Rattus norvegicus: one gene and its partner. The protein of the gene in region 1 binds, or shares a complex with, the protein of each later gene. Links are inferred from orthologs where the notes say so. Each region holds a gene or a part of one and is shown on either strand. Other genes may lie near its edges.

Region 1 (6,884 bases):
GACAGCTTATAATCTTCTTGCCTCAAAATAACAAGGGCACTTTAACATATTCATCCTTTAGTGCTTTTTTTCTAAGATGGGAGCTCTCAATATGTAGCCCAGGGTGTCCTGGAAAATGTTACCTTCCTGCCTCAATTTGCCAAGTTCAAAAATTACAAATGCGTATCACTATATGTAGTATGTAGTCATCTTTAGACCCATACCACAGTGCAGTGTCTAGCACATAATAAGTACTCAATAGATGTTTATTTTCTAAACCTTAGCTCCCCCCCAGCACTTAGTACTAGACGATTAGATTAAGCAAAACCAGTGAAATCTCATTATGTTATATTTAGTCTCCAATCATTAAATACAGAGAATATACTAAATAAATGTACAAAATGAAAGTTAAGGGGGATATCTGTGTCAAAACTGTAAGTGTTCTACTGAATTAGCTGCCACATGAAGTAAAATGCTTGCCCACTAAAATATGTCTAACTTTTAGCTAGCATAACTTTGTTATTTTACTTGGTCTCATTGAATGCACTAGAAAGCAATACAATTAATTACAGGAGTTCTAGACTAAGACAGTCTGTTAACAATAAACAAGATAACTCTGAGCAATTCATCTTTCACCTAAGTCTTCATTAGCCTTTCTGTCAATGAGAGTACAGAATTCAAGGGTGGGGATATGTCCAGTCTTTTTTCTTTAGATACTGACTTCAGAGCCTAGGGTATACTATGCTGGACTGATGCACACCCCCAAATCCTTTGAGGCTTTTACCTCCAACCCAAAACATTTACCATTTTTAAAATTGTATAACATGGGGGTTGGGGATTTAGCTCAGTGGTAGAGCGCTTGCCTACTAAGGCAAGGCCCTGGGTTCAGTCCCCAGCTCTAAAAAAAAAAAAAAGGGATCCTGGATCCTAGAAAAAAAACTGTATAACATGTCTGAGGAGTGATAATGAGGGCACAAAAACCAAACACTTAAGTACCAAACAATGCCACACAATATAAAAGTTTTATTGATTCTGATTCTGCTTATACAGGATATGATGTAGCCCAAGCTGGTTCTGAACTCTTGATCCTCTTCCTACCAAATGCACAGGTTACAAGTGTGAGCCCTGACTCTGTTTTATTATTTTACGTGTATGGGTATTTGCCTGCATGCATATATGTGTATCACATGCATGCAGTGCTCATGGAAGCCAAAAGCACCATTGAATCCTCTGGGACTGGAGCTGCAGATGTGTGAGTGCTGGGAATAGAACTCCAGTCCTCTGAAAGAGCAGCCAGGGCATTTACACAGAGTCAACTGTCCTACCCAACTTTGTTTGTGAGGCAGGGTCTCACTACATAGCCCAGGCCGACTTGGATTTGCAATTCTCCCGCACTGACTGCACAGTGTTGGGATTATAGATGGAAGGAAGCCATCACATCTAGCTTTCTTTCCCCTTCCTTTCTTCTACTGGTGTATCGTCATTGTACAAAATAGCAGGTTATTTTAGTTTCACAAATTACATAATACATTTTGATCGAATTTTAACATTTTCTTTGATATGCTCAAAAAAAAAAAAAATCACACCCAGAGCCCTATAGATGTTAAGCAAGTATTTACTCTACTATACTGAACTACATATACCAATACAATTTTTACATGCATAACTTTTTAAAAGTAACTTTAATCCCAAAAGATTCTGTGAGTCAGATTTATCTATATGACAAATTTGATGTGTGAGTTTCATAGTTTGCTATACTATTTGATCATCGGGAGGCTCACCATATGTATTTTTTTTTCAAATAAAATAAAGACTAACCTTTTTACCATTTCACATGAATACAGAACAATTGGTGAAAGCCAAAAGAGAAACAAACACTCAAGTAATTGAGCCTGTTCTGTTAAAACAGCATAAGCCATACTGGATTTTACAATAAAAATCATTGATAAATGGATGTTCATAAATACTGATTGCAAATACTTATGTTGATATACCTCTATGTCAGCTTTAAAACTTTTGGGAATAAAATCAAACGTGTTTATTAGAAAATATCCAAACATACAAGGCACAGGAGAAAAGCAAAGGTTTTCATTCCTCTTCTTCGGAAGTAACCAGGGTTAGCATTTTTTCTGTATCTCTTTCAAGGATCCATGTGACCCAATCCAGACAGATCTAAGCTTCTGTTTCTGTGTCTGTAGCTATAAATCTATCTGGCCTAAAATGTTTTCCATTCATAAGTTATGGGGGAAAACAATCCCAGGCACAATCTTCACATACATGTTCAGTACACTGAAAATGGTGCAGACATTGAGACAAAGTAGTATTATGCTAGACATAAATGTTAAATAGAATATACTAAGATATTTGTTTAGAGCTTACATGAAGCAACAGGAGTGTGGTGGCCAGGAAGCCAGAAACCAAGTTCTAATCTAACTGGCATGGTAACCTTAGACAAGTCATGAAATCCTGAGCCTTAGTTTCTGCTTAGTAAAACAAAAGAGTTTGAGCTGAGATCCTTCCCAACTCAAAAATGGTATAAGTCTAAGATGGCCGGCTCTTAACAGTGTTCTCTTGAACTGACTAAAAAAAAAAATCCCATTAAGGAGAAAACGAAAAATAGCAGTTTCTGGTCTATTTCTACAACTTGTTCACTATTAAGGTATAGATGGGATGTCAGAAGTAGTGTTATAACTGTACTTGAAGGCAAAGTAGTAGATTATTAAAATCTGATGTTTGTTTTCCCCAAGGCTTCCATTAATGCTTTCCTTTTTAGATGGGGAGAGCCACTGCTTAGTTTCAGCAATCACTACTCCCCTTGCTTAAAAGAAAAATACCCCACAATTCAAGTAAACTGTGGAGTTAAAATAATGAAACTGAAAGTCAAAGTGACATTTTTTTTTCTTTCAGAAATATGCTGGGGAAGTGACCAAGGTGACAAAGAGAGGCAAAAATGACCAGCTATTTCCTCCTCTGGAAGCTCTCTGGCCCTCATTCTTTTGGGTTCATACCACCCTTGCCAGAGACACACCACCCTGCCCCATACAAGGCATCAGATTCGGAGGGCAGGGAGGTTGATCGTATTTTTTTTTTTTTTTGTAATTATTTAACTAGATTTACCTTAGGTGTCACGAAGTTTAAGGAGGCTGACCTGAAGGCTTGAAGCCAGCCACCCTACCCACGGCTTCCAGGGGGCAATCCCGGGAACCTGGACAGGGAGCCCAGGCCAGCATTCCCCTAGGGCGGGCGCGGCCTTCCCGCCCAACTAAACAGAGCTAGCCCAAGCGGAAGGGAGGGGGAAGAAAAGGAGGGAAAGAAAAGGAGGGAGGGAAACGGAGAAGGGGGAGAAGGAAGGAGGGGGAGAAGGGGGAGAAGGAAGGAGGGGAGGAGGAGGGACTCAGAAGGACGAGGGAGGGGGAGGAGAAGGAGGGAGGGAAGAGCAGAGCAGAGGGGAAGGAGGGGAGGGGAGAGGAGAGGGGAGAGGAAAGGGAGGGGAGGGGAGCAGAGGGAGAGGAGGGGAGGGTGAGAAACCCACAAGAGCTGTACCCACCGCGCCAAGCAATCCAGTCCTAACTAACCGCCGCGGGCGACGGTTCCCGAGGGGAGGGTCCCGGAGGAGGGGCGGCCCGAGCCCCGATCAGGAAAAACACAACTCTGCTGGGCGGCGGGCCCCGGCCTAGGAGAAGGAAACGGAAGTCACTATGTCTCCCTCCCTCTCCCTCCCTTGGCCTTCCCAGGCAGGACAGTCCCTTTGGAGAAAACTCGAAGACCGGAACCAAGTGCATCCACGTCAGGACTTTAAAAAAAAAAAAAAAGCCAACCAGTGCAGTCCGCCAGCTTCCCGGGCGCGCCCAGCCACTGGCCTCAGGCCATGTCCCCCCCTCCCCCCCGAACTCTGCTCCCGCCCGGCAGAGCCCCTCCTTCTTTCCCACTCCGCCATCTTCCAACCTACCTCTCGAGCCGAGCAGCCCTCGATTAGCGTCGCGCTCGCTCGGGGGACCGCCAAGGTCCCGCCGTCTCGCGGAGCCGGAAGGGGGCATCCAAAAAACCCCCAGTCCTCATTATGCAGCCCGACCCCCCCCACCCCCCCACCCCGCCTCCCCAGCTCCAAGCCAGAGCCTGACCCAGCGGCTGCACATGCGCACAGGTCACTTCTCAGTCCCCGCCCCCAACTCCAGCATTTCCTCTTTTAGCATCCAGGACTTTTTCCCCCCCAACACACAGCTTTTACCTGGACTCTGGAGTGAGGGTGGGGTAGGGGAATACAGGTAAGAAGATTAAAAGCCAGGGGAAAAGGGCCCCAGCATATCGGTTACCAGGGACTCTGCTAGGTATCTAACATATTCCTTGTCATTTTGAAAACCCTGGAAGGCAGGACACATCTATTAAGTGCCACTTTACAGGGGAAACTGAGACCGGGAGAAAATAATTATCCCAGTATCCCCTACCCGACAAAAAAGTAAACTGATATTATAGAATCGGTTGTTTCCAAATAGAGGAAAATGGAAGGAATGACAAGAAAGGGAGACAAAGAGTGAGAGATTTAATTTGTGAAGAAGGAGAAATAATAGAACGAAGATGGAAAAGACACAGAAAAAGACTGTACAGCAAGTGGTGATCGTGCTATATGCGTGTAAGGTGGTCAGATAAACGTATATTTAGATTTCAGGAATTAATGGCTAGTGGAGTAAGATGGATTGTGTATATTTAAAAGGAGACGATCATGAGTACCATCTGTCTAGTTAACTAATGCTGCACTTGATGAAAAGGAACTTGGAAAAGAAGTAAAAGAAATATATTTGACTCTTAAAACTTTTGCTAACATAATGTCCCTTCTAATGCAATCTTTTTCAAAATTATTGCATTGGTTTACTGTGTGAGGTCAGAGGACAACTTGCATGTGGGTTCTAGGGAAGAACTAATGTCCTCAGGTTGGTGGCTATGCCCTTACCCACTAAGCCATCTGAGTCCCAGGCCCTGGGGTGTGCTCTTCTATCTCTGAGAATTACATCTGAATTATTACAATGATAGTAAATTCAAACAAGGGCTGGGAATGTAACTCAGTAGTAGATCACTTGTCAAGCACACGCAAGGTTGAATTCAAATCCCATCCCTGTCGACGAAACAACTGCAGGAAAATACTGCTCTCTCACCTCTCAGAGCACCCTTAAGTATGTCAGCCAGTAAAGCTCCATCTTTTTCTCTTTAGATGGGAGTCTTACCGAGTCACCTTCAAATTTATCAACAGAAGGATCAGGAGTTCAAGGTCATCCTCAGTAGGAATTTCGAGGCCAGCCTGATATGCAAGATACTGTATCTCCAAAAAAACAAAAACAAAAGAACCCTGTTCCAGGCCACCCTACCCTCGGTTGTCTTGATAGTGTCCACCGTGACTTCACTTCAAAGTGACTGCAGTAGTCAATTGTACTCATCTCTGTAGGAGCTGAACCGTCTGACTCAACCCTGGATCTTCCTGACCATAGGGCAGTCTGACTTCTCTGTTCTTAGGTTTGCTCCCCTTCCCCCACAGTCTAGCTTGCATGCTGCGGAGTTAAATCTTTCCATTCTGACTTCAGGATAAGAGTAAATCTCCTTAGCCTTAAATTCACTCTCCTCCAAGACAGTGTATCGTGTCCTCTAAGAGAACGGTGTCTTCTAAGAGAACTACTTAATTTGCCCTGGCTCTTACCAGTTTGCCTGCTTTCTAGCAATTTATTGAAACTAATTCCCTTACCTGAAGATTATAGTCTCACAGTTTCTATTATTGTTTTTTCGTTAACTTAATAATAATTAATAATGCGGAAGTAGTGGCGTGTGACATATTAGGTGAGGCCATAGAGACCTGTGGTTCCTGCCTTCCTCTCTTGGATTGGTTGCTGGGGAGTAAGCCAGGCATGGTTTGAGTACTAAAACAAGGTGAAGCCAGGTGTGATGGTTCATGACTGTAATTCCAACACTCAAGAGGCCAAGGCTTATTCAAGGTGAAGCCAGCCTGGTCTACATAGTAAGATAAGAAAGGAAGAAAGAAAGAAAGGAAGGAAGGAAGGGGCTGGAGAGATGGTTAAGAGCACTGACTGCTCTTCCAGCGGTCCTGAGTTCAAATCCCAGCAACCACATGGTGGTTCACAACCATCTGTAATGGGATCTAATGCCCTCTTCTGGTGTGTCTGAAGACAACTACAGTGTACTCATATAAATAAAATAAATAAATCTTTGGAAAGAAAGGAAGAAAGAAAGGGCAGACAGAAAGAAAGACAGGACAGACAGACAGTTGGCATGTGTTTGTAATCTAGTCCTTGGAGGTGAAAGTGGAGGAAGGAAGACGAGGATTTCGAGATCAGCCTTGGCTGCATAGAAGCCAATCTGGGCTACCTATCTCAAACCCCACTCAGAAGAGAAAAAGAGGAAGGGAAGGAGGGCAAGAGAGCATCCCAGGATCTGACAACCCTAATAAGAAAATGAAACCTAACCTTTTCTCATCTTTTCTCTTCCTGGACCAGCTAGCAACCACACCTTCCTGACCATGTAAGACACTTTGAAGTGGATACTTCAGTCAGATAACTACAATCTCTTGAGATTGGGCATGTTTCTCATTTGGTAATGTGCTTGCCTAGCATGCATGGAGCCCTGAGTCTGAGCTCCAGGATCACATAAATCTAACGTGTTGCTACACACCTGTAACTCCATCTCTTGGGAGGTATGGGCTCCTGGTTATCCTCAGTGACATACTGAATTCAAAGCCAGCTTTAGCAACAGATACAAATGAGACCCTGTCTTTAAAAGAAAACCAAATCAATAGAACAAACTAACCTCCCCAAACAAAACCATATAGCCTCTTGAGAACCAAAGTTAGAAGCTTCCGTATGAACCGCTCTCCTAAATTTGTGTGCAGTTTCTTTTCCTTTCTC
Region 2 (4,157 bases), on another chromosome or scaffold:
AGTGGCAAAATTAAAGTTATCAAGTAACAACAGAATAATTTATGATTGAGGGCAGCCACACCATGAGATGCTGTATTAAACGGTTACAGCTTTAGGAAGGTTAGGAACCACCGCTGTAAAGGGAGAAATCTCTTCAGGCTGCCCTCTCAGATTTTGATCACTGTGAGGAAAAACCGACCAGTATATACCAGCTTGCGCTCCATCAGTACAAGGTCCGCAGCAACCGGCCTGGGTAATCACGGGCTGGAAGCTCTAAAATGGTGACCCAGAACAGACTACTCTTTCTAAATTGATCACCTCAGGTACTTATTATACTGACAGAAAGCTGACACAGGCCTGAAGACATAAGGAACCCACTCCTTGCTGAGAAACTATTGACTGCTAGGGGAGGGAGAGTCTGTGTTCCTTACGAACACTGACTCTGCTCCAGCGGATGACACAACCATGTCAGTCCTAGCTGGTGTCAGTGGGAGACTTCGCCATGTGTCTTCTTCACAATGCTCACACCGCCATCTGTTGCGAGGCCTAAAGCATCTTCCTGGTTGCCCTGAGGTCAACAACTTTGCTTCACCGTACACTCACCACCAGGATGTCCTGCCCCGTCACCACAGACCCACAACATCAGAGCAGACCAGAGAATGAGATGCCTGACACTGGGAGCTATAATACATCTTAAATGCAGGAGTCTAAGTCTCAATCCTTCCTGCTAACAGCCCACATCAGTGGCAGTGGACTTGACTCTTTAATCAGGAAGGCTAAGCACCCAGTAGCTTCCTCATCCCTGTGCTGATCTGCTTGAGTCTTGGCAACATTCAAGGATCTCAGGTAGTGACCAAGTGGGGTGCTTAACCTCGGTGACGTCATTACAGTCAGGCCAACTCTTGGTTTTGAGTCCTGGTTTTATCTCCAAACCCTCTGAGAAAGCCATCTCATCTGGGTTCAACAGTGCGGCCTGAGGGAACATCCTAGCATGACTTTTTGGTACCTTCTTCAGGGGCTGCAAAGAGCATTAGAGACAGTGCTTGCCCACCGTAAAGAGGCACGGGATGTCTTCGTTAAATGGCGTTAAGATGTGTGATGCCTGCTGTTATGGTTTGGCTGTCACTGGTCCCCCAGAGGCTCCTGGGTTGGAAAGCTAGTCCCCTACGTGAGTTGTGGAGATGGGATGCACTAAGGAATCACTGGGGCTCTGTATGTATTAGTTCCCAAGAAGTTGCTTAGAAAACAATACGTCTGGCCACTGCTGGGCTACCCCGAACTCCCCCTGTCTTACAGTGTGGCTGTTCCTATTTGCAAGACTTTGGCCACTGGGATACTGGGATGCCGCCTGCCTTGAGAGCTTCCCCAGAACCTCGAGAACAGGTGTGGTGTCTAGTTTTTTTATTGTTAAGTTGACACAGCCTAGAGTCACCCAGGAACAGGAAATCTCACCTGAGGAGTTGCCAGATCAGACTGGCCTGTGGCTATGTCTGTGGAGAAGTGTCTTGACTAACGACTGGTGTGGGAGGGCCCCACCCTCGGTAGTGGTGCCAGCCGTAGTCAGCTGGGTCCGGGCCGTGTATAAATGCTAGCTGAGTGTCATCAGATTTCCTGCCTCCAGGTTCCTGCCTCGACTTCCCGCAATGACAGACTGTGACCCGAAATAGTCAAATGAAATAAAACCTTTCCTCTCTATGGTCACGGTGTCTACCCCGCAACAGAAAGTAGACTCGAACAGGTACTGAGGGTGGGTCTGGCTACTGCCTGAACTTACATATTCCTGAGGAGGCAGGCTGCCCTTCCCTAACACAGTGACATCGAACAGACTCGCCTCCTGCCAAATTCACTCTCCCTTAAGTGAAAAAGTCCTGAGGCCGCCACACTACCCACCTGAGGTTCACAGGGTTAGGTAACCAGAGACTTTGCCCACGTTCTCTGCAGAAGGCCTTAACAGTATGGAGGGAGGGAGGGAAGGAGGGAGGAAGGGCGTGTGTGTGTGTGTGTGTGTGTGTGTGTGTGTGTGTGTGTGTGTGTGTGTGTGTGTGTGTGTGTAAGGTCAGGCTGGTCAAACTCTGAAGGAAGAGATAGCTTGTCAAACAGAAAACCTGGGCCTCGTCAGTACGCTCAGTTCAAGAGAAAGAACTGTGAACTACTTACAAACACCACCTGCGCCTCCCAGGAAACTTATTTTCCCATAAACCCGAAAGCCCAATGAGTAAAGATGAGGTGTCGCCTGGAGCCCGCACTGCCAAGTTTTTCACCATCTTAAGTCACTGCAAGAGTCCCGATGCGAAGTTCCCCGACAAGAAAGAGCAGTTCAAGCACACTTTGCCTTGGTCAAAGATCTGTGCACCTAACTCCCTCCTTCCCTGAGCATAAGTCACCAGGACGGCCCAAGATTCCCATTGAGTGGACCGGCGGCGCCTAAGCTCCAGGCCAATCTGACAAGGTAGTCCTTGCGGGTTCAAACAGCCACATCTACAGCCTACACCCGCTCTTTTTTCCCTGTTACATCCGGAATGGCACCGGATGTCGCCAGACCCCAGACCAGGAGGCCACGGGACGCCATGCTGAGCAAAGCCAGCGCTGGCTTGAGGGCATGGAGAGCCGGCAGCCTTCCGAGCCAGAGCCACAGTGCCTTGCAAGCAGGTTCTGCGAGCCTGCGGGAGGGAGGGCGACCCGGGGCGGGGACGCGCGGGAGGAGGGACCGCGCGGAAGAAGGGCGGGAAAGCCGCGATGGCGGCCCAAGTTACCGTTCCCACAGCGGCAGCCAGCAGCCCACGACGGCGTGCGTCCTCCGCGAGGGGCGAGGGCAGCTTTAGGGAAACTGAAAGTAAAAGTCCCGGAGGCGTAGGGGGAGGAGCGGGCGGGCCGGGCGAGCCGGGCGGAGCTGTGCCCGGGAAGCTGAGGGAGCGCTTTACGGAGCCAGCCGCGGGAGAAGCTCGCACGGGAAGCTCGAGCGGGAAGCCCTCGCCACCCACGTGCTGTGTCCCGCCTTCTGCAAGCTTTGGGCGACCCCAGCCGGATCGGGAACGGAGCGGGTAGAGCGCTCTCTACAGAACTGGCGGGCCCGCAGGCTCTGCAAAACTGCCCGCCAGAAAAATGACCCGGGGCTAACCTCTGCAAATCTGTCACGTGCTCTGAAAAATCTAACTACGAGCATTGTCCAGACCTCTGCAAAATTGGCCAGTGTCTCCAGAGGAGAGTGGTCCTGCAAATCGGGACCGTGTCCGGTGCTACGTATGCAAATTTCCCCGCGCTCACCAGAGATAGTGCTAAGAGATTCTAAAACTGTAAACGTCCAAAGTCCCACTGAGAGCGCATTGTACAAAACTGTCTATACAGCAGATTGACATAAAGATTTGACTTGCCTTCAACAGTGGGGCTCCTGTCTTGTCCTTTTCACTTTTTCCTAACGCAGTCTGCATCTCGACCAGATCCTGTGCACGACCAGTCGCTTTAGTCTGATGTCTTCCCTTGTGAAGGGGGATGCTAGGGCACGAACGCGAACTTCACCTTAAGCAAGTTTACACCTCCCAACCCCAGCTTGCATGGATATTGCACCAAAATCATTGCATGTATGCTCTCTCCCGTGTCAGGCACTAGGTATGAGGAAGCAGACAGTGAACTAACTTGGGTTCCTGTTCATGTCACGTCCAACACAGACAGACAGACAGATATGTCTGGGCACCCATCTGTAGAGGATTCCCATTCCTCACCTCCACCGAGAGTCCTCAGAACAGCTCATTCACTCACTCAAGAGAGTTATGGGAGAGAACTGTGGTTCTGGGCATACCAGAGATACTTGGCTTCACGGCCCTACAGGTCTCCAAAGCCATTAGGGCTATTTTATTTGCTAGTGTGCTTTTCCTTAAACCCCAGAGTTTCGGCACTATCTCTAAAATCTCAACCAGTGTGGGCACTTTCTGGATGAAAGACTCACCCCAGGCAAATGTGAGGGCATAACTACCTTAATATGCCTACTTTCCTTTTTATTTAATGCTGGTGTGGTCCCTGAACTGTCGAGGTAAATGTTGGGGTAAGCCGTGGCTCACAGAAAAATGATTTGCTTTTTTAAAACAATTCAACTGGCAATTCTTAAAAAAAAAATGAAGACTTCCATTGACACTATAATTTATCTCACTGTAAACAGTGACCTTTTCCAGGCTAGTCCTGAA

Evidence for each region.
Region 2: the proteins of Xiap (region 1) and Casp7 are in contact, whole or in part, in a crystal structure (PDB 1I51), measured with the Homo sapiens proteins. The link is inferred for Rattus norvegicus from reciprocal best matches to the Homo sapiens genes XIAP and CASP7. Residues at the interface, in NP_001158.2 of Homo sapiens: His136, Ala137, Leu140, Leu141, Gly144, Gln145, Val146, Val147, Asp148, Ile149, Ser150, Asp151; in NP_001218.1 of Homo sapiens: Tyr230, Trp232, Arg233, Ser234, Pro235, Gly236, Arg237, Trp240, Glu274, Ser275, Gln276, Asp279, His281, Phe282.

Annotation. Positions count from the first base shown.
Region 1 is NC_086039.1:125,760,722-125,767,605, reverse strand, and holds the start of Xiap (E3 ubiquitin-protein ligase XIAP), read right to left. Parts: upstream 4,101-6,884; 5' UTR 4,017-4,100; coding exon of another isoform or gene 3,929-4,016; intron 3,653-3,928; 5' UTR 3,527-3,652; intron 1-3,526.
Region 2 is NC_086019.1:265,441,290-265,445,446, reverse strand, and holds the start of Casp7 (caspase-7), read right to left. Parts: upstream 2,801-4,157; 5' UTR 2,733-2,800; intron 1-2,732. UniProt on the Homo sapiens protein: Thiol protease involved in different programmed cell death processes, such as apoptosis, pyroptosis or granzyme-mediated programmed cell death, by proteolytically cleaving target proteins.